3 linked regions of the Drosophila melanogaster genome follow. The protein of the gene in region 1 interacts with the protein of each later gene in a pairwise test. Each region holds a gene or a part of one and is shown in the gene's direction. Other genes may lie near its edges.

The links.
Region 2: the proteins of CG6769 (region 1) and CG13689 interact in a two-hybrid assay, tested with the Drosophila melanogaster proteins (one large-scale study listed by BioGRID).
Region 3: the proteins of CG6769 (region 1) and CG6654 interact in a two-hybrid assay, tested with the Drosophila melanogaster proteins (one large-scale study listed by BioGRID).

Annotation. Positions count from the first base shown.
Region 1 is NC_004354.4:17,859,024-17,862,778, forward strand, and holds CG6769 (uncharacterized protein), read left to right. Parts: upstream 1-1,978; 5' UTR 1,979-2,140; coding exon 2,141-2,656; intron 2,657-2,814; coding exon 2,815-3,177; intron 3,178-3,250; coding exon 3,251-3,601; 3' UTR 3,602-3,752; downstream 3,753-3,755. Other genes in the region: Arp8 (Actin-related protein 8), read right to left, coding at 1-979, 1,045-1,630, 1,699-1,703.
Region 2 is NT_033779.5:600,876-604,124, forward strand, and holds CG13689 (uncharacterized protein), read left to right. Parts: upstream 1-1,937; 5' UTR 1,938-1,995; coding exon 1,996-2,131; intron 2,132-2,198; coding exon 2,199-2,464; 3' UTR 2,465-2,687; downstream 2,688-3,249.
Region 3 is NT_033777.3:15,211,514-15,215,268, reverse strand, and holds the start of CG6654 (uncharacterized protein), read left to right. Parts: upstream 1-1,610; 5' UTR 1,611-1,683; coding exon 1,684-1,803; intron 1,804-1,868; coding exon 1,869-3,006; intron 3,007-3,061; coding exon 3,062-3,723; 3' UTR 3,724-3,755. Other genes in the region: SIDL (shal interactor of Di-Leucine motif), read left to right, coding at 179-408; CG4210 (uncharacterized protein), read right to left, coding at 522-843, 904-979, 1,048-1,099, 1,162-1,236.

The DNA of each region.
Region 1 (3,755 bases):
ACATCTTGCGCTTGGTCTCGTAGCTGGACAGCCGGTTAATGGACTGGATTATGGCCTGGTCCAAGGGCAATACCAGACCCTGGCCGTTGTGGTAGCAGCCGTTCGAGTTCATCTGCCCACCAGCTGTCTGTGCACCCAGCTGCGACTGACAGTTGCTGATGGTCTCGTCTTGATCCACCACAATGAGCTCCTCATCGTCGGCGGTCACAGGCAGCTGCGGCCGCGGCTGGTATCCGGCGCTGGTGGATAGCTGCAAGATGTCGCCACCCCTTACGCCATTTTTTCGACCCGTCTCCTTCAGATACTCCGCATCGAAGCAGTCCTCGCAGTCGTATTGGTCCTGCACCGCCTGCTGTGTGAAAACCGCTTTCGTTCGGCCCGTGATGTTCAACAGCTCCGTGTGGAAGAGGGCCAGTGGCGCCATTAGGGCCTCATCGCCCACCTGTATGGTGTAGCGCAGCCACTGGCCGTTATGTTTGCGCAGGTTGAAGTGCTTCTCCTGGGCGCCACAAACGCTGGCGTTCAGGTGGCAAAACTTTTCCTTCAGCTCGTCCAGCAGATGGGCATCCACATAGCTCTCCTGCACATTGCACTCGCGATAGGGAAAGCCGCACTTTCGCAGCAGCAGGAGTAGCACCTGATCCAGGTCGCCGCCGCCATAGGACAGCCGCACCCTGGCATCCAGCTGCGAAATTCCGTCCTCGATGCAGGCTATGGAGGTCTTTTGGGCGCCAATGTCCACCACACAGCCGTACCCAATGCCGGCGCCAAAGGTGGAGGCGACGCTGTCCTGGACGAGGAAGCAGCGCCGAAAGCCCAAACGCCTCAGCAGCAGGGTCACGAACTCGCGCAGATGCCGCCGCACATAGACATCGTTGACCACCAAGACGGCGCAGTGGGTGCCCAGTTTACGCAGCGGGATCTTCAGACGCTCTTCCAGGGCGTACGACCAGATTCGTTCCAAGTGCTGCATGCTGGCCTGAAAAAAAAAAAACAGCTTCATCAGTTTAGTTTGGAAACTACGAGGAACAACGCAGCACACACTTGTAGCGAGCCGCCCTTCTCGTTGTGCACATTCAGCTCGCCCCTTTGAATGGGAAAATGGATGTCGTAGTTGCGGGCATCCACAGCACCGAGTCGCAGGATACGGTCGTCGAACAGCACGGGTGCCTCGCGATCCAGCCAGGGCTCGTCCGCCATCTGGCCACTGGGCGCCGGCACCTTCTCCGCCTGACTGCTCCGGTTGAAGTGGGCCAGTTGCTGCGGCGGAGTGGCCACCCGCAACCGGTTTTTGTTATCGACGACGCAGTGCTGCAGAATGCGCGACACCACCAGGCGCTGCTCCTCGAACTCCACCATCAGGCCGGAGTTTGAGTTGACGTTGTCCAGCGGCGGCAGCAGCGGATCATGATGCGGCCTATCGCTGGCCCCCGGACGCCTCCTGTAGGCCACCGCGTGCAGCAGGGTCAGCGGATTAAGGTCGGCCGCCCTGCCGATCCTCAAGTGCTGCGATCCAGGATGGATGACGATAATCTTTGGCGCCTCCAGTGGCTGCGCCTGCGGCTGGGGCAGCCCAATTGGCGGCGGCGCCGGATGCCGGCCACTGCTGGTGCTGCTGGCTCGGGATCGTCTGGACGAAGGGAGAGTAGCCAAGTTGCAAAATTAGTTGCTTCACATACCACTTACTTATTCACTTACTGCATCGTTTGCTTTCCGAAATCCGGATCCTTTGAAAATGCGGAAATCGGAGGCAACAACAAATGGCAACAAAGCCAATGTGACCGTGGTGCGCAAATGAGAACATTTATAAAACAGGAACACAGGAAAAACAGAAAGTTAAAGTAATAAAAAAATAGGGCTGATTTACAAAACTCATTTTTCATTAATTACTATTAATTCATTGTTGAAATTCAAAGCACTCATATATATAACATATAACAAATTCTTTGTTTAGTATATTGTGTGTGGATGGTGCCGACGTGAGTGCCGTCTGGTCACACTGTCAAGAACGTGGTTTTGTTTTTTAATCATCACCATTAAATTGAGCAGCCTTACTTTCCATTGTGAAATACGCCATTCCAGAGTGCCAACGAAAACGAGAGTGCCAGTCAAGCGATCATCGAATCCACTCAGCGCCACAATGTCGCACTTCACCTGCCTGAACTGCGATGCCCGCTTCGCCAGCGCGGATGTGCAGCGGAATCACTACAAGACCGACTGGCATCGCTACAATCTGAAGCGCAGGGTGGCCCAGCTGCCGCCCGTTACGGCCGAGGAGTTCCAGCAGCGCGTTCTTAGCGCCCGCAGCGCCACGGACGCGGCACTCGAGGAGCAGAACCTAAGTGTCTACTGCCACGCCTGCAGACGCCAATTCGCCAGCCAGAAGGCGCACGACAACCACCTGAACAGCCGCAAGCACAAGGAGCTGCTGGCCCGCTTCGAGCGCGAGCAGATGACAGCTAGCGGCGGCAGCGCCAGCACCGCCACATCCGTGTGCACGCGCAGCGTCGTGGAGCAGCGGCCCCATCCGGCCCTGGCCGCCGCAGCCGCTGGCAAGGGTCGACTGGCCTTCGCGGAGCGGGTGGTCAAGGCCAATAACGACGAGGAGATGGTCGACGAGGACGACGATGATTTCGAGGACATTGAAGAGGAGGAGGTAGGAAGCGCTATGCAGATAGAGCTCGCATTAGACTTTTCCTTGCTCATAGAAGGGTTACCTTGAGAATGATTTCCTTGGAGATTCTATGCCTGGTTAAGATATGCACCTTTACAACGTATACAGCTTCTTATAAAGAACAACTTGATTTTTTGCAGGTGGATTCCGATGAGTGGGACAAGATACCCGAGAATCCGCTGACCGAGCGCGACTGCCTGTTCTGCACACATGCCAGCGAGGATCTGGTGGAGAACCTAAAGCACATGTCCGTGGCGCACTCGTTCTTCATTCCGGACACCGAGTACTGCACGGACATCGAGGGCCTTCTGTACTACCTGGGCGAGAAGGTGGCCAACTACTTCATCTGCCTGTTCTGCAACGATCGCGGCAAGACCTTCTATTCCCTGGACGCCGTGCGCAAACACATGATCGACAAGGGCCACTGCCAGATGCTGCACGAGGGTGTGGCGCTGGCCGAGTATGCCGAATACTACGACTACAGCAGCAGTTATCCGGACAATGTGAGTATCACATAGCACAAGCAAACCTCCATTTATGCTGACTGAATCTTGGAAAACCTTTTAACCCGCACAGAATGAGGGCATGGACATTGACGAAGAGGTGGTGCCGGATCTGCTCGATGGCGATGAGTATCAGCTGGTGCTGCCCTCAGGCGCGGTCATTGGTCATCGCTCCCTGCTTCGCTACTACAAGCAGCGTCTTCGTCCGGAACGCGCCGTCGTCATCAAGAAGTCCGACCGCAAACTGCACCGCGTGCTCAGCGAGTACCGGGCTCTGGGCTGGACGCAAACGCAGCAGCTGTCCGCCGCCCGCAAGGCACGCGACATTCATCTGATGAAGCGCGTCCAGTCCAAGTGGCAGATGAAGCTCGGCTGCAAGGCCAATAAGCTGCAGAAGCACTATCGTGCACAGGTTCTGATCTAATCATCGCTTGCTTTTCTTTCCAAATGCTATTGGCCTCCCCCCTACTTGTACAATAAAAAGTTTTTGAGTTTTGCTTAAATTAAGCATATTTGTTTGCTTTCTATATTACTAGCGATTTCTCGTCGAATAAAATTACATAATTTAAATTAACAAT
Region 2 (3,249 bases), on another chromosome or scaffold:
ATATCTATTTGCGAGCCGTGCAAATGCAAATTGTCCCTAATGTAGCTCAAGTAAGTAGCAATCGCCCAGTTCCCCGCGGCGAGGATTCTCCTTGGAATTCGAATCGAGTAGCCGAAATGGAACTGGTTCCGAATGGAAGAATTATAAAAAATAATATGTAAAAATTAAACAAAAGTCATGGTACCGTAAAAATTACACCATTCTATAGTTTAGAAGCTTATTTCATTGCTGTTTTCAACTATATATACTATATATTATATTCTATTTGAGCATGATCCGCCATCCTGACCAACGTCGTCTATAAGTTTATGCTCTCCAAATCTGAAATTATTTCAATGTAAATTCGAATTTCCGAACTAGTTTACTGGCACCAGCACACGTAGGAACCACTCGAATTAAAATCTTTTTTTGGCTTCGATGCGCGCAAAAAATATGCAAAATAAATGCGGGCAAAAAATCGCTGGCCAAGTCCATTAAAAGGGAATAAGTGCGTGCAAATCCTGGCCGCAGGATGTTTTTCATATTATCAGAACGCATATTACTTCATCGGAAATGAAGAGCTTTCGTTCCCCCCGCTAGTTGCCAAAGTAAACATGTGTGAATTGCTCGGGAAAAGTGAGGGATGATGGGCGGGATGATGGCCATGATATCCATATCTGTATCCGTATCCATAACCATAACCACGCGCCTTTTTCGCTACACTAAAACCGCAATACAAACACACCCACACCCACTTAAGAGAACGGAAAAAAGAACGAGGGGCACAGGATATGTTGGATGGAATGTACTGTGCACCACATTCAAGTTGATCCCCTTGTAAATCTCTAAATTGTTTTATGAACATATTGGCCGGGAAGGTGTAAACCTAATTTTCCTTTATGAACCGGACGAGGCAGGTAAAGTGGAAGTGCATCCATACCCGGACTTTTTGTTCCGGCTCAGCAGGATGCACTCCATATCAATGTGCTCTTTGTTTGGCCGCCTCATTTAAATCGTACCGCTGGCCAATTTGCATTCGCACTACAGCCAAATTGATCCGCCCTAATCCCAGTTTTAGTTTTGGTTCCCGAACTTCTTCTTCGCTACTTCGAGCGACCGACCGATCGACCGAGATTTATAAGCGCGGGATTTGAATTTGCTAGAAAAACAAAACTCCTCTGCCTTTTCCTCAGGCTTTAGCCTTAGCCCTGGTTTGGCTATGTTTCTGGCTGGGATTGGCTTGGATCTGGATTTCGGTCCGATCCGGCTTGGCTTCTGCTCTGGCTTTAACTTTGCGCTTGCCCTTTGCCGGGAAGGTCTGAACCAGAGTTTTGAAGTCAGTCGGTTGACCGGAAAAGGCCTTCAAGGGGTTGGCCGCGAGGGCAGGGAAATATAAGGGTTTTATCATTTAAGAAATGAAGAGATTTTGTTGGAATAAGTAATTCTTCAAAAATGAATAAAATTTCATTTCATTAATTTGCGGCATAATTTCATAATTATTAATTATATAAATTTTGTAATATATTGTATTGATTTTTAAGACAATTTTTTTTAATATGTATCTATGAGATTCTAAGTTAGAAACAATAATTATTATATCTAAAAGTAACATGGTGGCGCCATCTGTTGTTCCCTGAAAGCCCCTGTACTTAATTTCCGGTAACAGTAATAAGACGCCATCTGGAGTTCGCGTTGTTTACAATCTGTACACACACTGGAATTAACAGCTGTTACAGTCCGATAGACGATTATTCACATCACAATCTTAAACTGCTTTTAAAAAGATATTATTTAAAATTATTTACAAAGAAAACAACCAATTGCCAAATCAAAATTATAATGAATCATTATTAAAGCGCTTCATATGAACCAAAATATATAATTCTGTGAAGCGGTCGCTAGATTTCAGTTTCTGGCCACATTTTGGATAATTTGGCAACACTGCAATCTTGTTATTGCTTATGCTGAGAAGTAAACAAAAGGCGACGAATGTTTGTATTTTCCTAATAAAAGCCAATGGAGGATTGGAAATCGGAGGAAATGGCAAGGAAAAGAAACAGGAATAGGAGCAAGCAGCGCAGACGAAGGCAGAAAAGTGAGGGAAAGCCGAAGCCACATACATCTCGAGATCAGTGGAGCAATGTGGCTCAAAGTAACAATAATAGTCATTAATAAGTTTTTTAATAGTGTTAACCATTTAAAATTCCCTGTTATTGTAGTATACCAAAGCCTTTTTGAATGGCACCACAATCATGTTATGAGTCTCTGCCCTGAGGTTAATCCGAATCTGGATCAGGACCTTGAGGATATTCCCAAGGAAACAGGAACGTTTCACTGCCTGGACTACGTGTACGAGAGTTCTTCCGAGGATGAGGAGATCGAACCCATTGACGAGGGCTATCTGAAGTTCCTCGAGGTGACCATTAAGCATCAGCAGGAACTCAGGGATCGAAGAACTGCCCAAACCACCGACTCTTTAGATTAGAATTTTGGTAAAATAGGTTTTTACGCAGATGAAAACTTACAGTTCATTTTTATCTGGTAATGACTTAAAAATGTATCTTACGTAAAATGTTATAATTTAAGCTCAAGTTTATAGGTTTGGTATTTAGTTTTGGTAAGCAGAAAATGTACCTTTTATAGGGGATATTTTTATATGTAGCACTTTGTCTTGAACGTATTAAGTATATAAGATGTTTTGATAACTTAATGTTCATACTTAGCCATTCTAACTGAATGCCTCAAAGGGCTAGAATCAAGACCTGCGTAGGACGAAAAAGCAACTGTACTTTAATTCCCGGAACTCTTCAAGCGGGAGACAAGTGTCTGATATTCTGCTTTTCTCACATGGTTCTCCACTAATGAAGTTGTGCGAAGTTGGCAGTTTTTTGGCCAAAGGAAACGCACATTAACCCGACCAAGACTAATGCGATGTCATTTATAATCGCGCTGGGAGAACCAGAAGAAAGCTTCAAATTGGGGCATGACTAAAAAGGGAGAGGGGCTTTTGGTAGGATGGAGGACCATTTGTGGGTCAGAGACAATGTCTGCTGCTCGTGTGGGCGTGGCAAGTTGGGCATTAGCCAACATTTTTCGGCACTTTTCAGCAGAAAACCTAATTAAGACGTCCGACTCTGAGTGGCAATGGATTTTCTTGGCTTACTTATATCCCCCATCCTCTCTCTCCTGACCAAGCTCCTCCGCCCCACGGAGCTCGTTTCCCACCTGCTCCTCATTCTCCACTGAAATCACGACTGGCGACGACAACTG
Region 3 (3,755 bases), on another chromosome or scaffold:
ATTCACTTTTGCATTTTAAGATATGGGTAAGTTCCTTGGAATAGGACACACGTAGCACTAACTAGATTTGCCCTTGCTTTTGATTGGAAACATTTAACACTGAAAAAGAAAATTGGCTTACTTCGATGAACCAACAGTCTGTACTTGTTGACTAACTAATTTTTACTTAACCTTTTAGGTGTCGTATCCATGAAGGACGTCGACAGTCATTCCATATCGCTGGATGTAATGCCGCTGAGCACCGGCTTTCTACCAATGCCCAGCATTCGATTATCCAAGTATACTGCCGGTGGCAAAAGTAAAACCGATGGCCACTCCAAGGTGCATCCCTTTCCGCCCGGTCAAGTCTACAACTCCACGAAGAGCATGCAGATCCATGTCATCGCAAGTGTGGCGGGGGATCAATGAGAAGCCAAACGAATTAATTGCAATGTACTCATAGCACATATGGCCCATGGCCAAGTATTATTAATTATTTATCGCCCTACTATAAAGTAGTAAAAATTGAAAATCAAATCAAGTTAAGATTTTTTTGCCCTCAGATCCGCGGCCAATTTGGCCAGTTGTTGCTCCTCCACGCGGTAGTAGTGCCAGCCCTCTTTATCTGTCAAATCCACGGCACCAAGACTTTCGTAGAACTTGCGTGCAGGATTCCATTCCAGTACATTAAACTCCAGGCGAGGGCACTGAAGCTCTACAGCCCGCGATGCAACCTCCAAGAAGATTCGCTTTCCGGCGCCGCGTTTACGGTGCTCGGGGCGGACATAGATGTCCTCGACGAAGAAGTACCGTCCCTGCCACGTTGAGTATGCCTTGTAGCAAATGGAGTACCCAATCGCCTGACTAGAATAGGAGAACAAGCCCACAAGTTAATCAGGTCATGCCAAGAACTACAGCACTTACTCAGTATCGTTGTCTACAAGCACATAGACTTCACAATACTCCTGGCCACCAGTGAGTCCTGCGTCTCGTTTAAGATCTGTCATATTACAATCCATTACTTTACCATTATTTCATTACTATGGTAAGGGTTTCGCCATCTCTTACCTTCCTCTGTTAGCTGGGGACCATTGCTCATCTTCTCAAAGTCAGCCAGTTCCTGCAGATCAATTCAAAAGTATCTCAAATTGGTATTAAAATAGGAATCTTATAAAACTCAACTTGAATCATGGAGAGCACATCTTTAATATCTTCAGCTAGAGCACGCCGGAATGTAAACTCTCCGGATTTCGACATAGTGGGAAATCTTTATAACCTGTGTTTTTCTGATTATGGTCAAAAGAGCTTATCTTTTGTCGAAACAATTCTAATCTATAGAGATGAGCCGAACTCTCGTGATCACAATTTAATATAACTCAATATCGATTGGGAAAAGAATTATTTGTTGTTAATAAGTAAAAAAATTAGATGAAACAAGAATAAGCCCAGATTCTTGTATATATACGATTCACATTTGAAATAATTTTATTTCAATGCACTTATCGCCATAAAATTAGATTATTTAATACTCTTCTTTACTCATTAGAATTATTTTTTGAATTGCGCGAAGGCCGCCAACAGCATTAAAGGTGTGACCAGGTGCACTTGAAATGCATCGGTATATTCAGCGTAACAAACTTCAGCCATACTGCATTTATTTAATTGTTTTATTTTGTTTCTGCATTTGACCGATTGCGTCGCGAAATGGATGTGGACAAGATCTGTCTTACCTGCCTGAGTTCCACGGGACCACTCCTGTCCATCTACGACGGCGGATCCGGCAGCTGCCTGGCGGACATGATCCGGGAGTTCACAAAAACCAAGGTGAGTTGCCTTCGCCGAGTGATCCTGATTTCCATGTTAATCTCGATTTAATTCGCGTTTTCAAGCCCCGCCGCAACGATAATCTGCCCGAGAAGGTGTGCCTAAGCTGTTTGAGTGAAATCTCCAATTGCTATACCTTCAAGATCAAGTGCGAGAACTCCAGTCGCACCCTGCGCCAATTGCTGCCGAATGCGTTGCCGGAGGAGCCCGATAGCAAGGTGTCTATCAGTTGTCCAGTGGCCACGACGGACCAGGCTGTGCAGACCACTAGCTGGGAGCCGGACAGATGCACAGCCTCCGTGCAAACGGACGCAGTGACTACCACAGACGCCGAACAGAATACCAGCCTGATTAAGTCAACGATTTCAGTGGACCTGGACTACGAAGGCGAGGGCGAGGTATTCGATTACGAGCTGCCGGATGAGCCCGTCGAAAAGACCACCAGCCTCATCCTGCAGGTCCAGGGGAACTTGAAGGACGAAAAGGAAGTTGTGTTTACCCAAACCAATGTTATTTACGAAGGCGACGACCACGAGCTGGAACAGCAGATCAGGGAATGTAACCTGGCCATCTTCGAAGGTGTCGATAACGAGGCGGAGATCATCACAGTAACCGCTCCGCAGGTAACCACCAGAAAGAGCGCTGCCAAGCTTCTAACGCAGCAGGAAAACGATAAGCATCAGACTCCTGTGGGTTCTAAGGAGGAAGCACGCGAATTAGAGAAGGAACAAGTACCTCAGTCGGCTAAGCGCACCTCACGGCGTCGCGGAGTTGTCAAGCAGGATGTACCGGCTACACCGCCGTCAGATGCAGAGCCTTCCCCCAAACAGCATCGGTTAGGAACACAGCGAAAACTCAGCGCGCCAAGAGCGGGAACAGTAAACGGGCCAAGCACAACGTCAGGAGCAGCTACTACCCCTGAGCTCAAATATCACTGTGATCGTTGCAATGCGGGATTCGCGGTGGAGAAATCGTTGATGATCCACAGACGCCAAAAGGGCTGCATTAATCGCAACTACAAGTGCAATGAGTGCGAAAAGGTCTTCGTGTCGCCGGATCACTTGGCGGAACACCAGGCCAGTCATGGTGCCCACAATTGCCCGGAGTGTGGAATACGCTGTGATTCCAAGGAGGCACTTAGCAAGCACATGGTGCAGGGCCACAAGCGGAATCTGCGGAATCAGTGCAATATCTGTCAGAAAGGTAAGATAACAAAGAGTGGTCGAAAATCCTATTTAATTGTCTCTTAATATTGTAGTATTCACCATGCTGTCCACGCTGCGTGACCACATGCGCATCCACACCGGCGAGAAACCCTTTGTGTGCAATATCTGTGGCAAGAGCTTTACACAGAATGCCAATCTGCGCCAGCACAAGCTGCGTCACTCGGAGACAAAGAGTTTCAAGTGCGAGCTGTGCCCGCACTCGTTTGTTACCAAGGCGGAACTCACCTCTCATGCACGCACCCACACCGGCGACAAGCCCTTCGAGTGTGAGGTGTGCTTGGCCAGATTCACCACTAGTTGCTCCCTGGCCAAGCACAAACGAAAGCACACTGGCGAACGGCCATACGCCTGCGATCTCTGCCCCATGAGATTCACTGCCCTCAATGTGCTAAAGAACCACCGAAGGACGCACACAGGTGAGCGGCCGTACGTCTGTCCCTTCTGCTCGAAGACCTTTACGCAGCGGGGTGACTGCCAGATGCACCAGCGTACACATCAGGGCGAGCGGATCTACATTTGTCCGGTGTGCAATGAGGAGTTCAAGTCGATGCCCGAGATGCGATCACATCTGGCCGGCCACGAGCAGCACGACAAACGCCTGGTGCACTTCACATTTCTAAGCAACAAGGAAAACGGAAGCGGGGCCCTTGAAGAGGAACTTAACGAGATGACCGAGTCTGCGCTTATGCTATAAATCAATGTAGAAGCTGTGCAAGCAAGGCGGCT